Linked DNA regions of Arabidopsis thaliana. The protein of the gene in region 2 interacts with the protein of the main gene of each other region in a pairwise test. Each region holds a gene or a part of one and is shown on either strand. Other genes may lie near its edges.

Region 1 (4,538 bases), on a different chromosome or scaffold from region 2:
GTTCCTCTCCATGAGGCTTCGTCAAAATGATCAATTTTGTTCTTTAGTTTTTCCTTGTGTTAGTGAATTGTGACATCATAGCGGCTGGCCAGCTCAGTCTACTATGCTCGATCGAAATTTCGGTTTGATTAGGATTTTTCGATTAGTAAATTCTTCAAAAATTAATCTTATTTTAGCCAACTAATATGTAATTTATTCTTTGTTGGGTAATTAGATGAATAATAATTGGTCTTCTTTCTCACATTTTAGTGGATGAAAAGTTTCCTCATTGTTTTCTTCTTTATTCATCACAAATGAAAAGTTTCCTGATGTTGCATGAGAAAAATATGAGGTGAATGATTTGGGATGTGTGCCATTCGTTAGAGATTGGTATGTGGTGGATGATGTTTAGTTTTGATCTATCAGGTCAAACCAACACGTGCCGTGCCCGGCTTTTAAGTTCTATGGACAAAAGTATTGCCCCACTAGGCAAATGATTGTGACTCCGGATCTTGTGCTTTCCTTTGACAAATTCCAAATTCTACATATTCAACAATTTTGCTTAAAACTTTAAAGTTTGATCTTTCTAGAATTGAATTTTATTATTTAAAAAATATACGATACAGTTACACATTAATAACAAGATAGAGAATCTTGGCGTTAACAATAAAAGAGATAAACGTAGCAATTAATACAAAGGCCATATACGTAAGGTGTGGTGAAAGTTGTTACATTCATTTGAAAATACTCCATCAACTCCACCCATGTTTTCTTTTCTCTTATCAAGTGCTACCGATTCTCACGGTCTTTAGAAATGAACCACTTTTAGTGATTTCTCGCAATGGTTTATCGGTATATCTAACTGTGTTATAAACCCATGCACCCGCAATCGCACCAAGAGTTGGCGCAACTAAGTATATCCAAATTCCTTTGTAGCAACCATAGACCAGTGCAGGTCCTAAACTTCTTCCTGGATTCATCGACGCACTCGATACCGGTCTAATAAAATTGATGAACATAACCGTATAAATCATTTTTTGGAATTCTTACTCTAAAAAAAAAAAGTATAAGCACAATAATAGAAATGGTAACTGATAACTTACGCGGCAATTAGCACGTTAAGTAGCACCGTTGATCCTATTGCTAATCCAGCAAGTTCTCCGATCTGAATATTGCAGCATTTGGTCCCAATGTTAAGTTTCTCGTAAATTTAAAGACCACAGAAAACAAATGTAACTTCTGAGAGGGAGCAGTAATTAATAACACTAATATAAGCCATCGAATTTGACAACATAAGAAGATATGAAAATACTAACCGCTCTATTATCGGTAGCAACGCCAGAAATGATGAACATTAGATAGAAAGTGACGATAAACTCCATCGTAAACGCCTGAAGATCTGATCCCACTGGTGATGATCCGATAAACACATCGTGTTTTCCGCTACAAACGTCGTGATCAAGTCCGAACAACAACCGTAATGTCGCAGCCGCGAGCGTTGATCCTATCACTTGTGATATGACATAAGCTGGAACCTAAAAAAATTCAAAGAACAAAAATAAAATAAATTAATTCACCAGTTCACACTAACTAGGGAAGGGACCCAATCTTGGAAGATATTTTGACGTTTATATAACAAAATATGGACGTGTGGAAAAACTATATACATACAAAAGTTACATAACATTTTAATTTATTTTGGAAACTAGCAAAAGTAGATTTGTCCTTACGTATCTTCACTCATCTATAGTAAACGTTGCATTAAAAACGCTACGTATTTGAATAACCCAAAGTCTCGTGTGCAATACAAGCAACCGATAGCTAAACTAGATCAATGGAAACAAAATACACTAATGTTCTTTAATTAGTTTGTTCATGAAACTCAAAAACACACATAAAATACAAAACTTGATCGATCATTATATAAAGGCTATATGTAATTGTGTATGTGTTAAGGACCTGTTTGAGAGGGAAACGGCCACAAGAGGCGAAGGCAATGGTAACGGCCGGATTGATATGAGCACCAGAGATGTGACCAAGAGAGTAAATGAGGACCATAATGGTGAGTCCCCAAACGATAGCGATCCCTGGAAGAGTCACGACATTGTCGTTTTGCATGTTTACAACCACCGATGCACAACCGGTGAATACCAAAAAGTAGGTTCCAAGAAACTCCGCGATCAACTGAAAACATAGCGTAAATAAAACCGAGATGTCTTGTGAATTGGTACAAAACAGAGTCTTTTCATTTATAACTTGTAAAACATGTTGGATATGGAGAGTTAAAAGTAAAAACCTTTTGTAAGAAAGGGACAGAGACTGAGAGTAGAGAGTCTTGTTTCTTCAAGGGTCTTGGGTTATGAATGTCTTCCATTTCTTGTTGATGTTCGACTTCATCCTTGAGATTCACCATTACTACTTCTTCTCTGGCGTTGCCATAGCCGTTTCCCGAGATATCCGCCATAAGTGACTTTTCTCTTTTTAGAAACAAAGAAGAGGAAAAGGATTGAACTATAAACGACTGTTTATGACTTGTGAGAATGAGAAGTTTGGTAGCGATTATCTCCTATTTATTGGCAAACATGGGGGAGAGAGAGACTTCTTTGACGATTTTAATATTACCAGTTTATTAATTGAAAAAAAGAAGAAGATGATATATTGTTAATAAAGCTTTTTTAATAATAATAAATTCCTATGTTTGTGGAGATTCTATACCAGGTCTCAAATTCAATTTTCAGGGATTACAATTTTTTCTTAGATCAACAAATATAAAATTTATCGAAAATTTTAGAATGCTACATGCAGAATTTGTTTGTTTTGATCTTGTGTGTTGTGCAGAGAGCCTATATCATTCGTGCATGTCGTACATGCATAACCATCCGCGCCTAGGATTCAAATGTTGCATACTTGCAATCTACTTTTTGTTTTTAAATTTTTATTCTACTTTCCAAATATTCATTTATAATCACATAAGTATATATACGTCATTTTATGCGTTGTTTGTATTTCACATAAGTATTCATTTAGAACATCTCATATCGAATTCTGAATTTCGGATATAAAGTCACCGGTCATATGTTGTTACACCCAAATTTGTTCGTATCATATAAACAAAACAAAATTATGTCATGCAAACTATAGAATAAACTATATCATTTATGAGAAATTGAAAAATGTCACTAGATGGAATTGATGATGGCCTCTTTAAGTCTTCAACTACCAAGCGGGTAATACGGACATACTTTATTTAGCTTATAGTTGTGCATGTGTACATATGTACACAACATTATAAAAATTACTAAAAAATTTCAAGATATTTTATATATACCTTGATGCCAACGTAACAATCTTGATTGCGATCCGTAAACTTAATGTAGTGTACTGTTTGGATCCGATCATATCAACCTCAGGTTTGAATCCATACTAACATATAACTAAATGTTAATTATGATCAGAATGTTTTATTTGCGACAATACTCAAAATGTCATCTCTAGATTAGGTTAAGTTCGAACCCTCTTTAATGGATGTTAGAATGTAGGGTTGTGGCCACGGGCCACCAGAGAAAAAATGAAGTTTCTTTATAATGTACAATTTGAATTATCAGTAAATTAGCAATGTTAATTCCACATGTAAACACGTATGCTGGTTAATGGTGACAAGACAAATCTTAAAGACTTTCATGTTACGTATCGATCCAGATGTGCATGATGTATGGTGCCAAAAAAATAGGAGGAGTGAATATGAATTGAAATTGAGAACATACATATATGCAAAGGGAAGGTAAATAAAGAATATTTCAGAAAGAAAAAGAAACATTGATGTAAATGTAGGAGTATCAAAGTCGATCAAAATTAGTAGATCATTGACTTAACTCAACCAATGAATTGACTATCATTTTATATTATTTTAATAAGTTGATGAAATAAATGAGTTGAATGGACTGATGAATTATGGGGGCTACTTAATGTTTCCACCACGACACTCGGATTCAATTCATTAACTTTTTTACATCATCATAACTTTATTATAATCGATGATATCAAACCCATCATGATATAATCATACACCATCATATTCATCATCATCAACATCATTTCATCAGCATGACTTCCGAAGCTATTATACGTGTGCTAGATCTATATCTTTGTACGATGTGAGAGTGTTACGAGTAGTATGTGTGCATAAAGTAAATGAGACATAAATTTGTTAACGGGTCTGTTCACAACTTACATGTCAAAAATTTCTACCAAAACTATGTAACTTTTTTTATTATGACGCTCCACAATTTCTCGCTACAATGTTATTCCGTAATTTTATATTTTTAATTGCAATATATCTGGTTTACGTATCAAAGATAATGCAAAGGAAAATTTTATATAGATATTATCTTCATCTAAAATGGTTTATCAGTATATGTATTAATGTTAAAACACATTATCAATTTCACCAGGTTTTAAATAGAAATTCCAAAAAAATATATATCTAAATTTGTTTTTTGAATTTTATCTAAAAATCTTATGTGATTTCTTAAAATGCAGATATTGTAATTCAAAACCAT
Region 2 (3,100 bases):
GAAATCGGTTTGTGGGGATTCATATTCCCACAAATAACCAAGTAAAGATATTGAGTATCATGCATTATCAAGGAAGTGCACACGTGCTGAAACAGATTAGCCATTTCTTACTGGAAATGGAGTGTCTTGAAGTTGTGAAAGTTGTCATCTCCAATGGATGACCCCCAAAAGGTGCAACTCACAAAGGATCTATTGGAACTTGCCACCGCTTCACCCAAGCTCAAGATATTGAAGAATCTGTTGAAGCTTGCCACCGCTTCACCCAAGCTCAAGATATTGAAGAACCTGTTGAAGCTTGCCACCACCTCACCCAAGGTCAAGATATTGATACGAGATACGGTATCACATACAACCGTAGAGGTTTCCAAAACCCGAGTCCAGTCTTAAAGAGTTTCTAGTTAGGTTTTTGGTGCTTTTCCCTTTTGGATTAGGTTGTTTTTGGTTCTTCTTCTTTTTACATTAGGATGTGTTTGATCGTTGAGCCGAATAATTTGCTTTGAATCTCTGAGATCTTAGGAACAGCTAATGGATCGTAGTATGATGATATTAAGACATCTTTCTTATGGTTATGAAAGAATGCAAAATAAATACATGCATCTTTGTACTAGTGTATGTATGTAAATTACCCACTAATGGTGGATGTACGAGAGAAAAAAATACAAGATCAACCATTACTAGGACAATTCAAGTAGCCATACATATTACTTACAACATTGTAGAAAACCTAACAAAGTTTTGTAACAGCAAATAAATAATTTTCTTAACTAAGACATAAAATATAACTTTGAAGTTTGAACAATAATCACAAACTATAGATTCATAAAAACACTTTAACCTTCGAAATCTGTTTTAACCCACTGAACATGTTTCACATTCATCTTCTCGTCCAACTCCATTTTCTTTAAATCCGAACTAGTCCCATCTTCAGCGGTCGAGACTCTTCGGTTACATTTTCTTCTAAAAGAATCTTCACTCTCAACATCTAACCCTTCGAACTCTCTAACCCAATAACAATGTAACAAACAAGCCAGCACTAGAACCATTATCTGTAACGGAATCATCGCCACGAAAACACCACATTCTACTCTAACCAAAGCTTTAGCCTCTCTAGGGTCTCGAGTCGATATCAGCAAAGAAAGACTCTGTTTCTCTCTACTAAACAACATTAAAACTGCAATAAACTGACCCGTCAGTGAGGAAACATGAAGCGTTATCCGCGCGATGAAACATGATCGAGATTGGTGCGAAGAGGCACTACCGAAAGAGGAGATCAGAGAGACGAGTGAGACTGCGAGGAAGGCTAAACCGAGTGAAGTTGGAGGGTTTCTAAGAAGAATGATTGGTACGAAAGAACAGAGGGAGAGGAGGAGGAGAGTGAAATTCAGACACGATACGAGAATGTTTTGGAACAAACATAACTTTCTGTGAAAAGAAGCCATTGATGTTTTGTGAAATTATGTTTTTTTTGTTTGTTTCAAGTTTTATATAGGTAAAGTAAGAAACTAAGCGCCCGTTGGGGAGAAGATGTAACGGCTATGATGAGGTTTAACGGTTATATTGACATAATGGGCTTCACAAAAGTATTGTAATAGATTTTTGACCTTTAGCCTCACGAAAATGACGGTCGTATATATTTGAATTAGTAATACTATTTTATCATTATTGTTTACATAAATGCCTGAAACTAAATTGCTTTTTTTTTTCTTTTCTTCTCAAAGACCTAAAACTAAATTGCTACTCGAATAGAAATTTGAAAAGGATTATTATTTTTGATATATTTCATGTTGTCCATAAAATACTCTTTTATGTCAATTGTATTTTTTAAGCATCTAAAATATTTAAATTTTTCTTCTTTCTCAATTGCAATATTTTAATATTTTATTTACATATACATAGACTATACCAAAAATCCCAAAAAAGATTATAAAAATATTGAGGTACAATATGAGCTTATAAGATTACTGTTTAACTGCAAAAGAAATTGTGTCTTGACTCCATCCAAACCCACGTGTCAACAACTGCGTGCAAAACAACATGTGTTCGATGAGTAATCGTACGATTTCCAAGATCAACCTTGGTCGTTGGGTATATATTTCGGTAAAAAAATCATCGTCGAAACACAATCGATCATTAATTCTTTTATTTGTCACTGTAGTTAAGCCAATTGAAACTCTAATAAAAAATTAAGAGCTTAAAAACAATAGAATATGCATCTAAAGATTTTTCTTTCCTTCAAACCAAGACACAATCTTTAATAATATAATTAAAACAAAAAAGGTAAACATAAAACAAAGATGTTTGAAGACACCAAAAATAGGACGGTGAAATTTGACACAAGTAATAAAAAATAAGGTTTGTATTAATCAACGGAAAACCATAGATTAGACCATTAGAGCATTCTCATTGCATAATTATTTTTTTAGTGTCTCAAAACCAATATATTTAATATTTTAATATTAAAAGCAAACTAACCATTAAAAAAAAATTTACAGAAGTGGACGAAAAAAGATTTGCTCTCACCGTTTGTCAAAGTGAGAACTGGTTTTTACGGTTTGTCTTTTCATTCAATTTCGGACCAAATTACCTTGGGAAAACTTAATAATGGCACAAACCAAACCGTGCAGCAGTTCGTATCGGTTCAGTTGATGGCATAAACCAAACCCTACAGCAGTTGGTTTCGGTTTAGTTGATGCGGTTCAGTTTTGAAAAAGACAAAACAAAAAAACTGAAACGAAGAAACCGAAGAAAAAGAAAAAGAGAAGAGAGTAACGGAGAGATTTGAGAGAGAATTAGAAAGCGAAACGAAATTCAGTATCCATTGTTTCAAAATTCGACATAACTTCGAATTGTTGGGTAGTTGAATTGAGTCACTGAACTCCCACATCCGGGGAAGAGAAAGTTACTGTTTTTCCCGGCGAAGCCAAGAAAAAGTTACTGTTTATTCCGACGAAATTTGAACCTCCGGCGAGATAGCAACTTTAGCTATGGCTGGGAATAAAGCAAACGAAGAAGTCCCGAGGAAGCAGCATGGTCCAGGGAAGGAGAAGCGGGTATTAAGAGTTTCCCCGCAGAGAAAACGCTCTGCGACAAAGGCAACGGA
Region 3 (5,183 bases), 6.3 Mb from region 2:
TCTTATGAGTCACTCAGCTGATGTCACAAACAGCTTCATGTTGACTTAAACCTTACAGAAACTTAATGTTTCAGACTGAGAACATGAGCAATAATTTAGAAGAGAGTACTTAAGTCAAATTAGTAGCAACCAGGCATTGACAAGTACTGATAAGGTTGTGGACCATAACAACCAATAAGAACAACTTAAAAGAACTTATACATGTTGGACGTATGATTTAGTAGTTACTGCATTGTTTAAACTTTTCTTGTTAAAATCTTTCTTACACTTTGATACAAAAGAAAAAGATGGTCATATTCTTAAATACTTTATAGTTTGTGCCTTTTTCATGTGATACATAACTCTGAAATCTAAAATAAATTCTTATTACATACAGAAACTATTCAAGGTGGAGACATTTAGGAAACCGTACAACACACAGAAACCAGTCCACTTAACATTTTACCAAATTAATAAGTTTAATAATATCATCTCTAATCCAAATTTTGAACCGCCATGGTTTTTGTAAGCCTTGCGCCGTCAAAGTTTAGATATCCGCCATGGTTTGGGAATGCTGAAACGCCGTAAGAGAAGTTTCACGCTCAGACTCGTACCCTTTTTGGGTATACTTTCGGATGGCTGATTCTATGGATCTTGTTTTGCGAAGACGATGAGCCAAGCCAACGCCATGGTTTGTGCGCCGCCGCCGCCATATCTGCCGTGATTTGTGAATTAAACGCTGGGACAGAAGTTTGCTACTCGTAGCCTTCTTTTTGGGTATGATATCTGAGCTTTGATTCCAACCGTCGAGACTAAAGCATCCCGTAGTCTCATTGAAGGTTTCTTCTAACTACAGCTATGCGATCAAGGTTCTGACCACAGCGAGCCTTACAAAAGTCAATGTACCTTATGTAGACAGTTGCATTCTTAGCAGTGAGAGAGGACTCACTGGGTGGCTCCATAGTTTGAATGGCTACTGACACAATCCTCAAGCCGGAAAGATCATGATCCGTGGTGGTCCTATCAGATATGGCAACAGAAAGTTCCAGATACAGACGAATCCAGTCATTGGCTCGCAGCTCTGATTCATCATCCACCACGTAAAATCGGTTTCTGTTTTCGAAAGGGTTCTCCAGCGGGAACTCAGGCAAGCTACCCATGCGGTAGAATTCTCTTTCCAACGACGTTTTAATGATTGTCCCTAAAATATACAATGATGAATGAAATACTAGTTGTTGTAATAATAATAATGATGTGTTAATGAACACGCCTACCCAAGTAAGGAGTCACATGTAGTATAATAATAATTTAATTACCTGGACGACGTCTTTCAGCAATAAAGGAGGTCAAAACAAGCCGGCCACAAGCTTCTTCATAAACGGAAGTCTGAAAAGTAAAACGCCTTCCACTAGATGGCTGCATTGCAACCAAAGTAATGTAGAAACAGCAAGCACCAGCAGCCAGAGTCCTGTTGTATCTCTTAACGTGAGAGAGCTTTAAGTTTGTCCCCTGATAAATCAAAAACGAAATTTGAATAAAAAGAAGAGCAAGAGTGGATAAAGAAAGAGAAGAAAGGAAGACAAGAGTCTTACACTTTGATTAAAAAAAAGATAGTATAGTTAGTAATTGCCTAATTAATTTCACAAAGAGAGATGATAATCAAAGAAGTTAAATAAGTCTATGGGATGCATTCTTAATAGTAATCTTGTTAACTTCTTTCTTACATTATGAGTCTTTGATTATATAAAAAAAAAAGATATTAGTAATTTGCCTAATTTCACATGAATCCCATAGACTTATTTATTTCTTTATACTTTGCTTTTTTGGGCCTTTTTGATAATTCATAAATAAGTGGTGTTGATACGATGTCGTATTGTTGTGCGTGGGCAAGTTGTAATTAAATGCTACAGGCTTTGAAGCTTCAGCGAAAAGTGGAAGAAGCAAATCCAGAGGCGGGGAACCAGAAATAGCCAACGGATCCGCCATGACTGCTCGTAAGAGAACTCCTTCAGTGTCCAATTCGGAGAAACTAGCTCTACCTGAACCTGCATCTTCCCCGACGGTTCAGAAGACCTCTGTTTCCGGAGAGGATTTCCAGCTCGCGCCGCCGAAATTGGGCGTGATTTTCGTGATCTCTTCGCTTCTGTGTTCGCTTTATCTTTACCTTCTCTGTTTCCACTACAATGTTGACAATGAGCTCAAGCGTCCGATCCTCATTAACGCTGGGCTTAGCTTGGTTGGATTCTTTGTCACACTCAAGTTGATTCCTGTAGCTGCTAGATACGTTCTGAGGCGTAATATGTTTGGTTTTGATATCAACAAAAGAGGCACTCCTCAAGGAGAAGTTAGAGTGTATGTTTTTCCTTCTTAGATTTGTCTTTGTTTAGTTCTCAGATTAGTGTTCAGCGTTTTTCTAGAAATGGATGTCTCTTAGATTTGATTTTTTGTATAGGAGGAAAACTATGAGATGTCTCATTTTCTGATTGATGTTCTATGGATGTTTACGCTTGATTTGATCTCAGGGGACTTAAAGTCTTTTGATGTGCTTATTTTCAGCAATCTTATTTCTTTGTAGGCCTGAGTCATTGGGAATTGTTGTCGGTATTGTCTTCTTGATAGTGGCGATTGTATTTCAGTTCTTTAATTTCACTGAAGATTCGGTGGTAAGTGTCCTGGTCTCAAAAGCTCAAGCTTGATCATTTATTTATTGTGAACTATGAACTTGGTAGCTCTTGGCTCATTTACTTTGAATGCAATTTATCAATCTGGCTAAATGACTCGGTGCAGTGGCTTGTGGAGTATAATGCAGCACTGGCGTCTATTTGCTTCATGATATTGCTTGGATTTGTAGATGACGTCCTTGATGTGCCTTGGAGAGTGTAGGTGCAGTTCTCATTTTGTTGGATTAAAAATTCATGATTTAGTTTTGTTTTCTTATTAACTCTTGTCAATTTGCAGGAAACTTCTCTTGCCATCTTTTGCAACCCTTCCACTGTTGATGGCTTATGCTGGACATACAACTATCGTCATACCGAAACCTTTAGTTTCTTATATTGGCTTGGAAGTGTTTGATCTAGGTACAATTCATCTTGTATATAGTGTTAAACCATCAATAGCTATTTTGAAATTCATTTCCTTAGTTGTATATTTATCGTGGCAGGACGTATATATAAGTTATATATGGCGCTACTGGCTGTCTTTTGCACAAATTCTATTAACATTCACGCTGGTTTGAATGGCCTTGAAATCGGTCAAACCGTAGTTATTGCAGCTGCTGTAAGTTCTGCTGTCAAAATGCGTCGCAATGCTTCATTTTTTTGGTCCCATTTTTCCTTCTGTTGGTTTCTCGTAAGTAAAGTTATGATAAATCTCAGTAACTTGTAGATTCTGATACACAACGTTATGCAAATCGGAGCATCTGTTGATACTGAGTATCATCAAGCTCATGCCTTCTCAATCTATCTTACTCAGCCATTGATGGCAACATCCTTGGCAATGCTTGCCTACAATTGGTAATCTTTGGATCTTTCAAGTCATTTTCTCTTAAATCAATCAGGTAAACTAGCAAAGCAGAATGCTTTCTCTAACCACGTTCATGTCCCCTCTTTGGTGATGTTAGGTACCCTTCTGCAGTTTTTGTTGGAGACACTTACACAGTCTTTGCTGGAATGACTATGGCAGTTGTTGGCATTCTCGGTCACTTCAGGTATACTTCTAACCATACCGTCCTTATTGCAATGTACTTAGATTCATCATTTACATTTAACTTATGTGTGAGCCTTCAATTAACTAACTACTTATGAAACTTTGCTTTTTGCAGTGAAACCCTGTTAATCTTTTTTCTTCCTCAAGTGTTGAACTTTTTACTGTCACTTCCGCAGGTTTGATACCTTTCTCCATCTCACACTTTCTGTTACTTTTCAATACATTTGAAAGCATCTAACTTGCTATTGTATAACTCTTCAGCTTGCTGGCATTGTCAAATGTCCACGACATCGTCTCCCCAAGTAAGCTATTTTTTGTCCATTTTTCATAAGAGGCAAAGCCAACAAGTAAACAACACATGACTCTTCCTCTCTCTTTTTTAAACCAGGTATGATCCTGCTACGGGACTGTTAACAGGAACAAAAGATGGGACACTCGTGAACGTCTACTTGAGGATTTTTGGTAGGAAAACAGAAAAGTCTCTATGTATTCATCTTCTTGTTTTCCAGGTAAACTTGTTAATGCCCATATTATCATCTCTAAATACAAGTTGGTTTATTCTGAGAGAGAGAAATCACAAGATTGGTGTTTTGTGTGTTCTATTGCAGGCTCTTGCTTGCGCATTTTGTTTCATGCTTAGGCATTTTCTAGCTGGTTGGTACAAATAAATCTCTGCAACATGAAGAAACTCTAAACCTGTTCCTCTTTTCATCTCTCTCTCTGCCTTCACAAATCATACAAACACAGAACTTGTTTTGCTTCATGTCCAACAATCTACTAGAATCATCGTTTTAGTTCACTTATATAGAGAGTTTTCATCTAAAGGCGAGTGTATCTCAACAATATAAAGCCAATGAAATGAATCAGAACAAATTTGTCTTGGAATTTAAATTTAACTACAAATGCTGATCTTATTTTGATAACTTTGATTAATAAACTAAATAATTTTTAGATTAAAGTTTTGCTAATATAGCATGCATTAAATGAAGTGTCCATTTACATATATTTTTGAATTTTAAAAATGCGCTTTTAATATTAGACAGACTACTGTCGTACTAGAATAATAAAGAATGTAATAAAAAAATAGAAGGAGAATCGGAAAAGAAACCCACTTATAGAATGCCATGTGTCAAAACATAACAAGCGAAGTATGTTTATATAGTAAGAAAACTCTTTTGCCCTAAATATCCCAAATTGTCATATGTTCTTTCCTTATGTGGCTCTCTCTTCTCTTTCTCTTTCTCTTTCCTTTTTCTCTTTCGATCAACAAAACCACATCTCTGAACTGAACCAATTTCTCTTCTCCCCCTTCCGGTTATCGGATTACCAGATCTCGTTTCCCGCGATCTAGTTTATTCTTTGAAAAAGGTAAATGTTCAATTTTTTTATTTTATTCAAAATCTCCCCTGGATTCAGGAGATGATGATTTGAAATTGACGATGATGTTTGTGTGTAAAAGTGATAGAAGCAGAAATGGGAAGGGGCAAGATCGCGATTAA
Region 4 (6,947 bases), on a different chromosome or scaffold from region 2:
GTATCAGTTTCCCAGCTAGTACAAGAAGAAGTATAGTCAACAATTTCTTCTATAGGCTTTTCTCCATTTAAAAACCTTGTACATTCAGATATGGACTCTGGAGTATGAAATAGCTTTTCTAATGGGGCCTCATCATCAGGCTGTACCAAGAGAACATTGATCAAACTTCTCGATTCCAAAGCCCAAAGAACCCTGATCGGCCTCCTTGTTTTCAAGGTTTTTTTTTTGAGATTACCAACATATTTTTTGGCTTATAAGCACTGAGAAAAACATCCCATATCATTAAATCAATGTTTTAAAAAAAATATAGTTATAGATTATAGTGTTTAAATTCATGTTCTATAATTTTAGCGTAAATTTTTTAGAATAACATGTATTTATCAGAATTATGTTTTCAAAACGTAAAATAAAAGTGTACACCATTCAAGCCCTTTATTAACCTACTGTATCATGAGAAGTAACTCGTGGGTTTGGTTTGACCACTACTAACACAACTGCGCCTGAATCTCGAATGTGTCAATAACCTATAGAACTTATTTCTACGAGAGCATAAACATCATCCTATATAATCAGTTGAAAATGTGAAAATCAGTTAAAAGAAAACATAATATATCACAATCCCACATAAATCACCGAGTTAGTCTGAAAACAATAAAAGAAAAACAAACAAACTCGAAGCACTTCTTGTAACCTCGAGTCCAAAAGAAAGAAAAAAAAGTAGTGTTAAGCTCAAAACTAATAACTAAAGACCAGAGACAATGTGAAAGGTCAAAAACACAAGCAAGTAATGCATCTGTACAAACAAAGCCGAATCTACTACCGAGCTGTTGGCTGCAATACTGATTCATCAATGGATACATAACTCTGTGATCCAGCCAGGTCAAGCATTCCCATGTTGAGCGAAGACGAATGAGCCGAGCTCCTGGAAAACTCGTCTGATATACCGCCTCTTGCAGCCAACGCTTCCTTCTCGATCCTAATCGCGTCTTGGATATCTTTTTGCACCTCGGACATCGAAGGTCTCATGTTCCCGTGCGGTTTCACACACAGCAACGCTTTCTCCGCAATCTTCCACATTGATTGGAGACTGTAATCATCTTCCGCTAGCGCTGGATCGATGATCCCTCGGATGTCCCCGTTGTCTATATGCATCTTAGCCTACAAAAACCGTTACCAAGCGATAATTTATAAACCGTTATGATTCCATATTACATATATCCAAACAAAGCGTAACCACACAAAAAAAAAGTTGAACTAACCCATTGGACTATGTTCCGGCAGTTGACACCAAAGCTTTCATTCGATATGGCTTCTTGGCCAGACATTAGCTCAAGAAGAATGACTCCGAAGCTATATACATCACTCTTCTCTGTTAACTGCTGCGATATATAGTACCTTTAACATCGAATAAAGAAAATATGTGAGTTCTTGATATTATGCTAGTTTTGGTGAATCTATCTGAAGTTCTTGGTATTAGTTTAAGTCTTAGCTTACTCGGGGTCAAGATATCCAACTGTGCCACGGACAATGCTGGAGACATGTGAGGTCCCGTCAACTGCGAATTTCGACAAACCGAAATCTGAAACCTTTGCCCTCATGTGTTTGTCAAGTAGGATGTTACTAGTCTTGAGATCTCTATGTATGATTGCTGGAACACACCCTGTGTGAAGATACTCGATCCCTACAGAAACAATCAAAACCAACAAAATCAAATATCGAAAAAATGGCTTTCTGTTTTGTTGTACAATTCACGGACCTCGGGCTGCATCTTCAGCTATCTCAAGCCTTTTAATCCAACTGATTCTCCGGTCACGTGGTACCACGCCTGAAAATAAATCCACTTGTTATCATAATGTTAAGCCAAAAGGCTGAAATATACCATCCTATCATAAAAAGATATGTTACCATAAAGATGCTCCTTCAAAGTCCCATTGTGCATGAACTCATACACAAGCATGTTTTTTCCCTCTTCTTGGCAATAACCAAGAAACTGCACAAGGTTCCGATGATGTATCCTTGAGAGTAATGTAACCTGAAAAAACCATAATCACTTGTGTTACTTCCTAAGCAAAATAAAATAAAACTAGATACTTAGGCACATGGTTTTAGACTAAGGCAGATTTACCTCGTTTGCAAACTCTCTCTTTCCCTGATATGAATTATTTGCAAGAACCTTTACAGCAATCTCTTTCCCCTCCCTTGTTTTACCATAGTATACGATTCCAAAACCTCCCGACCCAATTCTCTTTTCGAATTTTTTTGTGGCTTCCTCGATCTCATAAAGTGTGAAGCAATGTGCAGCGTCTCCATGAGCTTCACTCAAGGTAGACGAAACTCTCTGAATCGGTAAGGGACGATTCGTTAACTCTGCTGAAATAAACCCAAGAAAAAAGGTAAGCATATTCATTCAAAATCAAGATACACTATGAAACCGGTATACTTGAAGAAATATAACATACCCGAAGTTTTTCCCAACTTGTTATTCTTCTTGCTTTTGCACATGACGATGCAAGAAATGATGGTTGCAATTAGCAGAACAAAAGCACCAACTGATGCACCGATGATGACACCGAGCTTCTTGCCTTTATCTCCACTTTTTTCAAGGTTAAGGTTCCCAGAGAAGCTGAAGGAAGAAGAATACATGTGTTACTGAGAAGATCTAGCTAGGAACTATTCATGCAAAAGCAGTTTAAATCCGACAATATACTTACTTTGAGATCACATCTTTGGCCAGGTCTGATGGTATTGTTCCTGTTAACACATTGTTCTGCAGGTACCTGCAATCATAAAGCAGGTTGGGTGCATAAGAATGTAGATTAAAAGGTCATCCCCACCACACAAATTAATATATCAAACTATCCTTTAAAAAAAGCATACAGTTCTTTCAGGTTTGGGAGTTTCGTCAACGAGGAAGGGATCTTTCCGGTTAGTCGGTTGTTCTCGAGGTGTCTGCCACAGTCCATTATATATTTATAGTTAGATGAAGGCAAGAAAAAATATATAAACTCCAAAGAAAGTGATTTTACATTATCTCCAGGTTTGGACACCGAGAGAAATCCGGTATTGGACCCGTAAAAGAATTCCCATCAAGCCATCTGCCATTGACAAAAGTTGCAACATCAGTAAAGAGAATATCTCTATATAATCCCAAATTCAAAAGTCTAAGAAATAAGTAACTTACAACTCAACCAAACCAGTCAATTTCACCAGGTCAGAAGGTATATTTCCCGTCAAGTTCATACTCGACAGCTTGCTGCAGAAAGAATGAAGCATAACATAGTTGAAATATGCAGACAAAAAGACATATTGCAAATAAAGGTACTAAGATAGACTTCCTTACATAGCAACAACCCTTGGTTGTGGATCCGAATTGCATTGCACCCATGACCACGGTGAGGGTGAACAAGGGTCACCGCCTTCTTGAGCCCATTCAGTGGAAGAATATAGCGATGCCACATTAGCCATAACAGTTGCTGCAATACAAGCAATCATCTTAGAATCAAATGTGAGGCCACAACACTAAGAGGAGGGGCTAGTTGTACTCACCATCTACTGAACCATCGCTTTTCCGCAAATATTTGCTGATCTCCATGGCATTCAGAATAGGTCCCCTAGAAGAATCAGCCGTTTTGGCAAATCGAAAGTTTAGCACAAATGGAAGTGTTATGTTAGGATAGCCAGGTGCATAAACGCGATACGGTCTCTGTGTATTTTCCTTGATGTTAACAACCGATTTGCTATACTCAGGCTGCTCAGGTAGAACTAATCTAAACTTCCTTGACTCATCCTCAGCCAAATCCTCGATTTCAGCAAAGTATGTGAATGCCCAACCAAAACCAGGGAAGCCATCTAGGTTCATTCTGTAAGTTAAGGACCCGTTTGTTCCAACCACAGCCGTCTGCATAACCTTCTGAGGCGGTCTGTCATCGACCCTGCTTTCGATTGGCAATGTAGTCGACACTCGCACAGTCCCAGCAGCAACATCCACAAGATAATTAGGCTTCTTTTGCAAATCAGATTCCCATATTCTATCATACGGATCATCCGGGTACCTGCAATACCAACTCATTTCCTTAACTCATCCTGATAAATCACAATGCTGAAACAACAAACAGATTATGAACTGTATACTGACCTCACAGAAGCTTCACTTTCAGCCCCGAAATTTATCCGTGCTGCAACACTCAGGTAAAACCGGTCTTCAGATAGCATCGAACCATACATCGAACCACTCAACTGCCTAAGCTCAAGAGTAGATATAAACGGCTGTCCAGTTGTGGCATTTGACAAACAAACACTAACAGTAGGAGAAGAAGCCAGAAACACCAGTTCTGCAGTTTCGATTATATAGGTTTCAGAGATAACAATGGTCGCCCAATGAGTCGCCCCGAGGGAGATATCGAATTTGGGATACACATTGTTGCTGTTGTCGAAATTACCATACAAGAAAGTAGCTCTAATGAGATATCTATTCCTACTCGTGACATTGAGAGTGTAGCAATACTTTCTTGAATCAGCAGGGAAATGCCTTAAAGTCGTGTACTGAGTTCTTGTTTCGTTAACGGACGATATATTAGCGGTTTCTCCATAAATGAGATGATTATCAGGTGACCATTTGAGTCCAAGTTCATCAGTGAATGGCTCTGCACCTCCACAATCCAAGCTCACAAAACCTGCCTTACCCAAAAAAAAAAAAAAGTTTGATTCTTTGTGTTACCATTCCCTTTTTCCCTACTTCAATCTAACTAAACAAACATATATGAGCATAACTACACACAAATCTCAAACACCACCAGCTCTTGAGATTTGTTAACAAAAGCCTAAACTTTCAAAAATCCTTGTTACTACTACATCACATAAAAATAGAATCTTTCCAACTATTTCAACAAGGAAACATCAAAAAGTACTCAGAAGCAGTCAATTACCTGGAGCTTGTGCTGATGAAGAAGTGAAGAGACAAGTTGAAACCAGTAAACACAACAAAAGCAGTGAGATTCTCACCATCTCCAGCTCAGACCAAACAAACACTTCACACAAGTTTAACGCATAAATGGCGTTACAAAATAAAGGAACCAAAAAAAGCTAAATGTGATCCCAAAAAAGTGAAAAAAGTGAAATTTCCAGAAACAGAACCAAACAGACCCTAAAATTACTTATCTTTACTATCAAGAGAGATCTAAAGACCCATAAATGGTTTAACCAAACCCAAAAACCCAAAAAGATAATAAAAATCAAAAAATTGGGGAACGTGAGGAGATATGAGTGTGTTTCTTCCTCGTTAAGTGTTTGCTTTTTTTATGTGAGAGAGGAACAGCTTCAAAGCCAGTGGAGGTAAGTGGTAAAGGTACAATTGTTGGGTCCATCTTCCTAGCCTGGACTCTACGTACATCTAACGGTTCAATTGCTTTACCTTTAAACTCAATGGTCCAGATTCGTTGTGTTCCACCTTTAACGTGTTGTAGTGAATTCCACCACCAAGCAGTCTCCAGCGAAACGGTGTCATTTTAATATATTTCTTTTTCTTTTTGTTCAACATTTTTAATATATTTCCGGATTTGAATAAATGACATTCTCTGCCTCTAAGAATATTTAAGAGCTACATCCACATGTTTATTGTTTTATGGGAAATTAATAAATAATATTTTTTTCATCCAGATTAGATCATTTCAATATAGGGAAGTGATTAAAGTTTGTATGAATTTTGTTTTTTAGTGATCAAAGTTCTCTTGTTGATATACTTTTAAAACTAAAATAAACAGGTTACCTTATTAAACAATGAATTCAGGTATGAAATTTGTAAATTGATGATCACGATAATTTTCCTTAATTATCTAATTCTAAGATAGTCTAACCATGAATATTCTTATAATATCTTAACTGTATAGGAGATTCTATTTTCATCCCTAAATTATATTCGTAATTTTATTCGGATATACTTGCTTTTATTTTCGTCAACAGATATATATATATATATATATATATATTATTTATTTTTAATTTTCATTAAAATTAGTGATTTAATTCTCTATTATTTGTGTACTATATAAAACAAACAAATGAATCTTATAATGTTTGCTTTTTCGTCCATAAATATTTCCGGGAAAAATCGTTAGATATAAATCGAACCTAGTGGTGAGTGACTCACACACATGTGACAATTCCCAAAATAAGTCCCCCACGTACGCTATGTCTGTTTTAGTGTGCATGTAGTAACTATTATTTACTGATTTAGAATATAACTAGCATTTGGCCCCTATTTAGGGATAACATTGTTTTAGATTATATCTGTTACAACTTTTAACTAAAAATTTTAAAATAAAGCAGACAGTATTAATATACAACAAATTTATTATCATTGATCGAAGAATATACAAAGATTAAGAAAAAGATATAAAGAAGGTACAACTTTTCTACCCAATGAATCAATTGCGATAGGCAATAACTAACAAATCAAGAGTTTAGAAATATAAGAGAGTATAAGTACGAAAATTATGCTGGGTATATACATGTCCGCTTATTTCATCATTAGCTCCAACCAATTGTAATGTGTTCTTCTTCTCATCATCAGTAATTCAGTTTACAAACATTCGTTGACACCCAAAGCTTGGAAGTCTAAAAAAAAATGTAAAATGTGCACAAATAAGTAACTACATGACGCAGACGCTGCCTTTGAAACAATATCAAAGATATTGCAGATATAAAGAAGTAAAATAAGAGATGACTTTAAAATTGAAGTATTTGTATTAATACAAAAATCTTGCGTGAAAATACAATTGCAGTTTAATACAAAAAAGAAATTGCAGATATAAAGAAGTAAAATAAGAGATGAAAGAAGAATAGTAAAAAGTATGAGAATTAATTTACCATCAAAAAAACACTTGAGCTTCGATTAAGATATTAAACTCACCCTTGTTTTAAGGCAACTGTTCAGATGAGAAGCCAAAATT

The links.
Region 1: the proteins of AT3G42725 (region 2) and NLM1 interact in a two-hybrid assay, tested with the Arabidopsis thaliana proteins (one large-scale study listed by BioGRID).
Region 3: the proteins of AT3G42725 (region 2) and AT3G57220 interact in a protein complementation assay, tested with the Arabidopsis thaliana proteins (one large-scale study listed by BioGRID).
Region 4: the proteins of AT3G42725 (region 2) and AT2G37050 interact in a protein complementation assay, tested with the Arabidopsis thaliana proteins (one large-scale study listed by BioGRID).

Annotation. Positions count from the first base shown.
Region 1 is NC_003075.7:10,420,967-10,425,504, forward strand, and holds NLM1 (NOD26-like major intrinsic protein 1), read right to left. Parts: upstream 2,543-4,538; 5' UTR 2,444-2,542; coding exon 2,276-2,443; intron 2,164-2,275; coding exon 1,939-2,163; intron 1,515-1,938; coding exon 1,296-1,514; coding exon of another isoform or gene 1,245-1,295; exon of another isoform or gene 1,145-1,244; coding exon 1,083-1,144; coding exon of another isoform or gene 1,079-1,082; exon of another isoform or gene 979-1,078; coding exon 762-978; 3' UTR 555-761; downstream 1-554. UniProt on the Arabidopsis thaliana protein: Water channel probably required to promote glycerol permeability and water transport across cell membranes.
Region 2 is NC_003074.8:14,842,252-14,845,351, forward strand, and holds AT3G42725 (Putative membrane lipoprotein), read right to left. Parts: upstream 1,468-3,100; 5' UTR 1,440-1,467; coding exon 831-1,439; 3' UTR 598-830; downstream 1-597.
Region 3 is NC_003074.8:21,172,553-21,177,735, forward strand, and holds AT3G57220 (Glycosyl transferase family 4 protein), read left to right. Parts: upstream 1-1,842; 5' UTR 1,843-1,963; coding exon 1,964-2,331; intron 2,332-2,554; coding exon 2,555-2,642; intron 2,643-2,766; coding exon 2,767-2,858; intron 2,859-2,937; coding exon 2,938-3,056; intron 3,057-3,139; coding exon 3,140-3,255; intron 3,256-3,363; coding exon 3,364-3,491; intron 3,492-3,598; coding exon 3,599-3,685; intron 3,686-3,799; coding exon 3,800-3,860; intron 3,861-3,945; coding exon 3,946-3,986; intron 3,987-4,072; coding exon 4,073-4,193; intron 4,194-4,292; coding exon 4,293-4,352; 3' UTR 4,353-4,642; downstream 4,643-5,183. Other genes in the region: AT3G57210 (uncharacterized protein), read right to left, coding at 810-1,180, 1,296-1,401; AGL16 (AGAMOUS-like 16), read left to right, coding at 5,158-5,183.
Region 4 is NC_003071.7:15,567,347-15,574,293, reverse strand, and holds AT2G37050 (Leucine-rich repeat protein kinase family protein), read right to left. Parts: upstream 5,369-6,947; 5' UTR 5,005-5,368; coding exon 4,926-5,004; intron 4,674-4,925; coding exon 4,136-4,673; intron 4,053-4,135; coding exon 3,547-4,052; intron 3,474-3,546; coding exon 3,341-3,473; intron 3,254-3,340; coding exon 3,182-3,253; intron 3,096-3,181; coding exon 3,027-3,095; intron 2,950-3,026; coding exon 2,878-2,949; intron 2,778-2,877; coding exon 2,712-2,777; intron 2,624-2,711; coding exon 2,460-2,623; intron 2,371-2,459; coding exon 2,126-2,370; intron 2,033-2,125; coding exon 1,906-2,032; intron 1,826-1,905; coding exon 1,757-1,825; coding exon of another isoform or gene 1,749-1,756; exon of another isoform or gene 1,682-1,748; coding exon 1,495-1,681; intron 1,396-1,494; coding exon 1,260-1,395; intron 1,159-1,259; coding exon 817-1,158; 3' UTR 545-816; downstream 1-544.